Linked DNA regions of Kluyveromyces lactis. The protein of the gene in region 2 purifies or fractionates together with the protein of the main gene of each other region. This does not show direct contact. Links are inferred from orthologs where the notes say so. Each region holds a gene or a part of one and is shown on either strand. Other genes may lie near its edges.

Region 1 (3,677 bases), on a different chromosome or scaffold from region 2:
AACCTAGTTCAATGCCGTCGTGTCTATACTATATACAAGTTGCTTAATTATCGTTTATAGCAATTGTCATCTTTAAAATGGTGCACAGAGAAAACACAAACAGCATTTTGCAGCTGGAATTCACCAACGATCGCGCGTATGAATAGTCTTAACTTCGCTAGGGAGAAAAACAGCCAGTGCCAGGAATAGGGCCAGAGCCAGGTCCTGTGTTTGCACTCATGCTACGGCCTGATTTCTTTATTGATCGAACACTTCCTAATAAGGAAAAAGGTAAACAACTATGCATATTTACGTTTTAGGAAAAATGTAAATAAACCGATGGACTTTTCACAAAAGCTCATCGCTTTGTAATTTGGTGCTACCTTTCTGACAAAGAAGCATCAACTGACTATATGAGCAACTGAGCGGATTGGGGGGATAGGGCATCACTGCGCATACTCCATTGCAGTATTCCTTTGGGTACTCCATGCTTGTGGTTACATTTTTCTTTTGGTTATTATTACAGAATGACGACAACGTTCGGTGACTGAGGGAATCCTCATTAGATTCTGTGAAGGGGAGGGGCGTCTGCTATGAAGCCATAAATCAACGTAGAGGTTCTTTGTAGACATTTAAAATTTCTTTTGTGCTACTTCTCCCGACAGTTGAAGCATCTGTAGTGAGGTATTCTTCTTTATCTTAGAAGTAAGAAGTTTTTGCTGCGTCTGTCTCAGTGACGATAGAGAAAAAGTAGGCTTTAAGCGAACGATCACAAAAGCTTCTCACGGTTCTTAAAGCTTTTTCGGTGAATCTTTCCATACAACTGGTGAAGAATTTGTATTGTTCCGATTGGAGTGAGCCTGTTTTTTCTTTTTGAACTTTTCTGGTTTGTTGTCCCTTGCTGTTTCTTTATTATTGTTTTGTTACTTCCTCAATAGGTTAGTTTCCAAATCGAATCTGAATCTGATCCAAGCTTTTCAGATTCATTATTTCAATAAAGAGGTTTTAGCTTTGAACAATCCCAGTCCATAGTTGACAATAGTCGATAGGAAACATACTACCAAGAGTATCGCCAGCGGTGAAGACATTGCTATCGGTAGAGACAGTGATAGCAGAAAGCAAGTTGATCAAGAGATCCTACGTCTTGCTCCTAAAAAGAATCGCAGAGTTTTTTTATACTGGAATCAAGATCTGTTGGTATAACTCTTAATTATTGATCTCCTGCAGAACTCATTGGGAAATTGGTAATAGAATAGTTGACTGAGTTGATTGCTAAAGCAGGTACTAAAGAAAGTGCAATTGTCTTTCTTTCCGATCTCTTCTTTTTAACAGAAACTAAATTAAAGACAATTCTGTCAAAGCATTATGTCAAAGGATAAATATGATAGAAGCTTGAAAAACTTGAACATGCTAAGAAGACCAGTGTTAAACAATGTTACTAATACTACTGAATCTACGTTCGGTAAAGTTTTGAGGCAGGCTAAATCAAGACTGCAGAATAGCAGGACGAATAATCTTCCCCAGGGTACCGCAAACTCGTATTCGAACACAAAACCGGCACCATTGAGAGATGACATAATGGTACCTGAGGATAAGGAGAATTACAATCCGCTAGCTAAGATTGATGAAAGAGAGGAGCTGGATTCTAATCTAGTTCATAATCACAAATCCCTGGGTACACAAAAGCATGTTACGATCGATGAAAGACAAGAAATAATTGGATATTCACATCTGGATACTGAAAAGTCTGCTCCATCATCATCAACATACAGCAGTGAGCATACGGAAAATGACGGCGTTCACGACGTCAACCCAAATGTTCAGCGTTCAGATAATGAAGCTGATTTCAAGATGCAAACCACAAACGCTTTTCACGAAAACGTCAACGATGGCAGTGACGCAACAGATGATGCCAGTAGTGGAAGTAAGAGTAGCAATGAATGCCCTGCTGTTAACGTCGGAAACAGCCTTGCGCCTATGCCAATTGACGAAAATGCTAACAATAGCGCTAGCAGTGTCGAATTGAGAGCAAAGCAACTTCAGGTTGAGGATTCGAAAAAGAGACCAATAAGCACTGTCGTTGAACAAACGTTACCTAAGAAATTTAAAGTATGTGAAAAGGGTAAAGAATATGAATGGGAAGATCTTGATGAAGAAGATATCAATGATCCCTTCATGGTAAGCGAATATGTTACAGATATCTTTGAATATTTGCACAGATTGGAAATGATGACTTTGCCTAACAGACACGAACTATTCAAACATGCCAACATTCAGCAAAATAGGGATATTTTAGTTAACTGGATGGTAAAGATTCATAACAAGTTTGGCCTACTGCCGGAAACCTTATATTTGGCGTTGAATATCATGGATAGATTCCTTTGCAAAGAGTTAGTACAGCTGGAAAAACTACAATTAGTAGGAACAGCGTGCTTATTCATCGCTTCGAAATATGAAGAAGTGTATAGCCCCAGTGTGAAACACTTCGCTTACGAAACGGATGGTGCATGCGATGAAGAAGAAATCAAAGAAGGAGAGAAATTTATTCTAAAAACGTTAGAGTTCAATCTCAATTATCCAAATCCCATGAATTTCCTAAGAAGGATATCTAAGGCAGATGACTATGATATACAATCCAGAACATTGGCGAAATATTTGCTTGAGATATCCATAGTTGACTTCAAATTCATTGGGATTCTACCCTCATTGTGCGCCGCAGCATCTATGTTCTTATCGAGAAAGATGTTAGGAAAGGGCCAATGGGATGGAAATCTAATACACTATAGTGGAGGATATACCAAAGACGAACTAGCTCCCGTGTGTAATATGGTTATGGAATATTTGGTCCAGCCTGTTGTACATGATGAATTGTTTAAGAAATACGCTTCGAGAAGATTTATGAAAGCATCGGTAATTTCTAGACAATGGGCAAAGAAAGTCATGTCCCACAACTATGATATAATGACACTACATGATTCAGAATAAATCACGAGATTCGATCATTTAAAGAAACCATGATCCTTCCGGCCTTAATTACTGAGTATGATTGGCCATTGTAGTGCCAATATGAAATGTTATCGAGGGACTTTTTCCTATAAGAAGAAATTCGAATCACGGGGTCAGAGATATGGAATCAATCTGATCCAATACTCAATTAGTTTCTGGGAAGTGGAATAGTACATGTTGCGCGTTAAAGGGAGGCATTCTAAAAGCATACTAAACCCAAAAAAAAAAAAAAACGATAACTATACTAATACTAATCATAATAGAAAACAAACATTGTAATAATTAATCTAGCCAACCCACATGTGTCAATGTGTTTTCCATTCAACAGATAAAATGAGGATTTAGACCTTAGTGAACCCTTTACTTCAATTCACTTTTAATATTTCACCTGCTCAAAAACTCAGAAAGAGTTCTCTCAGGATCATCAGTATCAGCATTATGTTGCAATCATAGGTATACCCACCCCTTACCCTTTAAAGTATAACCACTTCAAATAATTTACTTCTTATGTACACTTAGCATGTTTCTGAACTAATTTCAATTAATGAATAAGTCATTTTTTAACTATTATTATTAGTTGATTACTCGATTAATTATTTATAAAATGCAATGGATATGATTATGAAGTAAGAACATCTTGAAATGATGGGAATGCGAGACCGCAAAAGTAGCTCGGGGATGTGAATGAGCTT
Region 2 (4,443 bases):
ACACCGGTGGTCCTTACGGTGGTACTTACAGATTCGCGATGGAGACCAACGATCCGTCCAACAATGGGTTGCAAAACGCTGCGAAGTTCTTGGAACCAATCCACGAGAAGTACCCTTGGTTATCTCATGGTGATTTATATAGTTTGGCTGGCGTTACGGCGATTCAAGAGATGCAAGGTCCCACAATTCCTTGGAGATCTGGTCGTGTGGACCAACCTGAGGATACTACTCCAGAAAACGGTAGATTACCTGATGCTTCTAAAGATGCGAAATACGTGAGATGCTTCTTCCACAGACTAAACTTCGAAGATAGACAAGTAGTTGCATTGTTGGGTGCGCATGCTTTGGGTAAGACACATTTGAAGAACTCTGGCTTCGAAGGCCCATGGGGTGCTGCCACCAATATCTTCACCAATGAATTCTACAACAACCTGCTAAACGAAAAATGGGACCTCATCACTAACGATGCCGGTAACAAACAATACGTCAACGATAAGGGCTGGATGATGTTACCAACAGATATGGCCTTGGTACAGGATCCGAAATACTTGCCTATCGTGAAAGAATTTGCAAACGACCAAGACACATTCTTTAAAGAATTCACCAAGGCCTTTGTAGTATTACTTGAAAACGGTATTGATTTCCCTCAAGAAAACAAACCTATAAAATTCAAGACCCTTGATGCCCAAGACTTATAAGTTTCTACTCCAAGAATCAAGCAAAACACACACATAAACACACACAAAACACTGCAGCATCAGGCCGTCATATCATAAAGTGCCTGCTATTTATTATTTATGTTAGTTCTTATATACGTTGTGAACTATCATAACTGTCTATTTATTCAAATCGGATAAGAAAAAACACGACGATATGCAAGTTTCTGAACAGACGCACATTCGATAGAAACAGTGATCCCCACTGAAACATAGAAATTCTGCCCTTCCACTCATATAATAGTCCTGCCAGGCTCATTCTTGCCAAGTGTGTTATGTTAGGGAATGGCCCGTCTTTGCAGTTGCCTAACGATTGCCACGAAAATCATCAACACGCGAAAAAAAACGAAAAACATAGAAACAGAACGACGTGTTGAGAAGATCAAAAATCGATGAAGTAAACACACAGGTGAAAACAAAAAAAAAGAGATCTAGAGGAACCAACCTCAACACTTTAACCATCACAGTTCTACCATCAACTAGATTCGTTCTATTGGATCCTTCCAATAGTTGACAAAAGTCTATTGTTTGTTGTTTTAAGACAGCTTTCCTGGTTGTCTGTTAATTCTGTACCAGGTTCTGTTTTGACAGTTCAGAACAAGGACAACGAGAACCCACCCGCCAAGGGGCCATAATTTGGGTGTTTTTGTTTCAGTAAATAGTTACTCGACGGTGTGACAAAAAGTAATCACTGAAGAATAAAGTACTCATCGAAGGGGATCATCAAAAGCACGACATAAACAATGCCATCGAAACGGAAAAACTCACTGCAGCCAAACTTTGGGCGCGTAACTGTCAACACTGCACTTTCACCTCGGGTAGAAGTTTACCAAGACATAAATGAAGAAGAGACTGACCATGCATACCAAAGTGATGTCGATCTTGATACGGATATGGACCTGGACGTTGAGTTTCATTACTATGACCAGCTTTCGCACTTCAGTAACAATTCCAATAATCTCAAGTTTTACTCGGAACCTCTGAGTTCAAGATCTAATTCTAATGACACTCCGTTGGGTCTTACGAGAAGTGTTGGTGTTCTCAATCTTTCATTGGAGACTGAAACGCCTGATGTGAAAGATCAAAAGTTTAATGAGGAAAATCAGTCCCATATCGACAGCAGAGTACCACAGCTTCAAAGGCCCCTCATCACTACAAGTGCCTCCAATTCAGCATCTAATAGTTTAAAGAGAACTGTGAGCAAGACTGGATTCAATATATCCTCTCCATTTTCCAAGAACAATGCTGCATATTTAAAGAGTTGGCATAGTACGAATGCTGCAACATCTAGTGATTTGTCCTCCACTAAGACTACAGGAAAAAGTAATAATTCGTTTACAGAAGCAAAACCGGATCCTGTAGCTTTTCAGTCATCTGGCCTTATTTCCAAAATGAAACAAACAATTCTACCCAAGAAGTTGACAATACCAGATACGCCTGTGAAGAAGTCTCCGCTGGTTTCGAGACATTCTGACCAAGAACTTTTGGACACACCAATATTAGAGCATTCATCTATCATGTCAGCACAAAATCAGACGACATTTCCTACGATGTATGATTCCCAACTTTTCAAATCTCCCCCGATGATAAATACCGTGTTACCTTCATCAGAAAACTCTCCTACCAGTTCCTCTAATCCAAGATCTAAAAAGAGAACTAAAATTGTAAAGAACACAGAATTGACCTCAATGTTGAGACAAATCACGGACGATTTGTACGGACACGATCAAGAAAGTTCAATCTTTTCACCGTCACCCTCAAAGACAAATCTTCAAACTCCAACGAAAACATCCTTTGATATTGGTCCTGATTCTCTGGCTATCATGACAAAACTGCGAAACGATCCAACACATCTTCAACCACCTGAGAAGCAAAGATCAATCAATGCAAGTATCATGAAAAACCCTGATTTCCATCTAACGACCAAATTCAGTAATGTATCCATAATGGGAAAAGGTCAGTTTTCTACTGTCTACCAAGTGACTTTCCCAGAAACTGGTTTAAAATACGCCATCAAAAGTGTACGACCAACTAAACATAATTTTACCAATCGAATTCTACAAGAAATCAATATGTTGTCAACAATTCAGGATTCAGTTACAAATGACACAGAAGGTAAGGAATATATCGTAGAATTTATTTCTTCGTGGTCACATAAAGGTTCATTTTATATAATGACAGAATTCTGCGAAAATGGAAATTTAGATGCTTTTATACAAGAGCACGTCATTGCTAAACAACAACGATTGGAAGATTGGAGGATATGGAAGATTATCGTTGAAATCTGTCTAGCTTTGAGATTCATCCATGATTCCTGTTCAATTGTTCATTTAGATTTGAAGCCAGCTAATGTTCTCATAACTTTCGAAGGTAATTTGAAACTTGCTGATTTTGGGATGGCTACAAAGTTGCCAATAGAAGATAAAAGTTTTGAAAACGAGGGTGACCGTGAATATATTGCCCCGGAAATTATACGTGACGGAATATACGATTTCCGTGCTGACATCTTCTCCCTTGGGCTAATGATGATTGAAATCGCTGCTAACGTTATTTTGCCTGATAACGGAAGTGCATGGCATAAATTGAGGTCTGGTGATCTATCTGATGCTGGCAGATTAAGTAGTGCGGAGATCCATTCGAGCTCACTCTTTTCCAATAAAAAAGATCATACGAATATCACTGACATCACAACGCATGAGACAAAAATTCCAGCGTGGGTACCGAAGTTTTTATTAGACGGAATATCGCTGGAAAGGACTATCAGATGGATGATCGAACCGGATTACAGAGATCGTCCATCTGCATCTGATTTACTCCGCACCGAGGAATTAGAATATGTAGAACTAACAAGAAAGACAGGTGCAGTTATTCATGAGGATGACTACGGCCCAAAACCAGAATTCTTCTCCTAATTCACTTCAAGAAAATATAGAACATGTTATGATATTCAGCTTTACATAAACCAGCTTTACATAAACCAGTTTACGTCTGTTCTTTCTCTATAATGCCCTAATACTGACATAATAACAGCTCCGTTCATTTTCCTTTTACTTTTACTGGTTTTTTAATTTTTTGACATAAAAAATATACATGAGGAACATGTATATTAAACAGATATTCAGAGACTTTATGAGAAATTACAACGAGAGAGATGCAGTGGTGTGCAACGTTTGAACAAAAACGAACACCAGGTGGGGATAACGACGTGAGGTCACGTTAGAGGATGCACGTACTTGTGCATACTTATAGGTTAACACCCACAATTCTTATATAATGAACTCGCGTTTTGGATCAATAATATGATGAGTTATCAAACACTCTTTAAGCTAGATAGTATCTGAAATTATAATGATTTTAGTGTATTTGAACATTTTTAATACCTCTGATATTTTTCCAAAACTTGAATTATCTATGTAGCCTCATCCATTTATCTTTGCATACCGTACCTTGTTGATATTCCAACGCGAAGCAATTCGGTAATACTTGGCAGAGTATGAATTTTTAGATTAAAAAAGAGGTTAACATAAAGATAATATCTTTGAGTAATACATAGTTTTAATTAAAAACCGTAAAACGATGTTGAATTTATTAAACTGACCCTATCTATACATAAGTAGAGTATACTTTGCAAACTGTAGAGAAAATTGACATAATAAGAAAAATTGTTGTGCGTTCTTCCGATATGTACAAAAAGTTTACAAACCCAACTTTGTTCTTCTCCAGTGTC

Evidence for each region.
Region 1: the proteins of SWE1 (region 2) and KLLA0_D15543g purify together in Saccharomyces cerevisiae (affinity purification with western blotting; 4 studies listed by BioGRID, with this or other methods). This does not show direct contact. The link is inferred for Kluyveromyces lactis from reciprocal best matches to the Saccharomyces cerevisiae genes SWE1 and CLB2.

The regions. Positions count from the first base shown.
Region 1 is NC_006040.1:1,312,416-1,316,092, forward strand, and holds KLLA0_D15543g (cyclin family protein), read left to right. Parts: upstream 1-1,344; coding exon 1,345-2,964; downstream 2,965-3,677. UniProt on the Saccharomyces cerevisiae protein: Essential for the control of the cell cycle at the G2/M (mitosis) transition. Interacts with the CDC2 protein kinase to form MPF. G2/M cyclins accumulate steadily during G2 and are abruptly destroyed at mitosis.
Region 2 is NC_006038.1:658,132-662,574, forward strand, and holds SWE1 (tyrosine protein kinase SWE1), read left to right. Parts: upstream 1-1,459; coding exon 1,460-3,628; downstream 3,629-4,443. Other genes in the region: CCP1 (cytochrome-c peroxidase), read left to right, coding at 1-698. UniProt on the Saccharomyces cerevisiae protein: Protein kinase that acts as a negative regulator of entry into mitosis (G2 to M transition) by phosphorylating and inhibiting the mitosis-promoting cyclin B-bound CDC28 at 'Tyr-19'.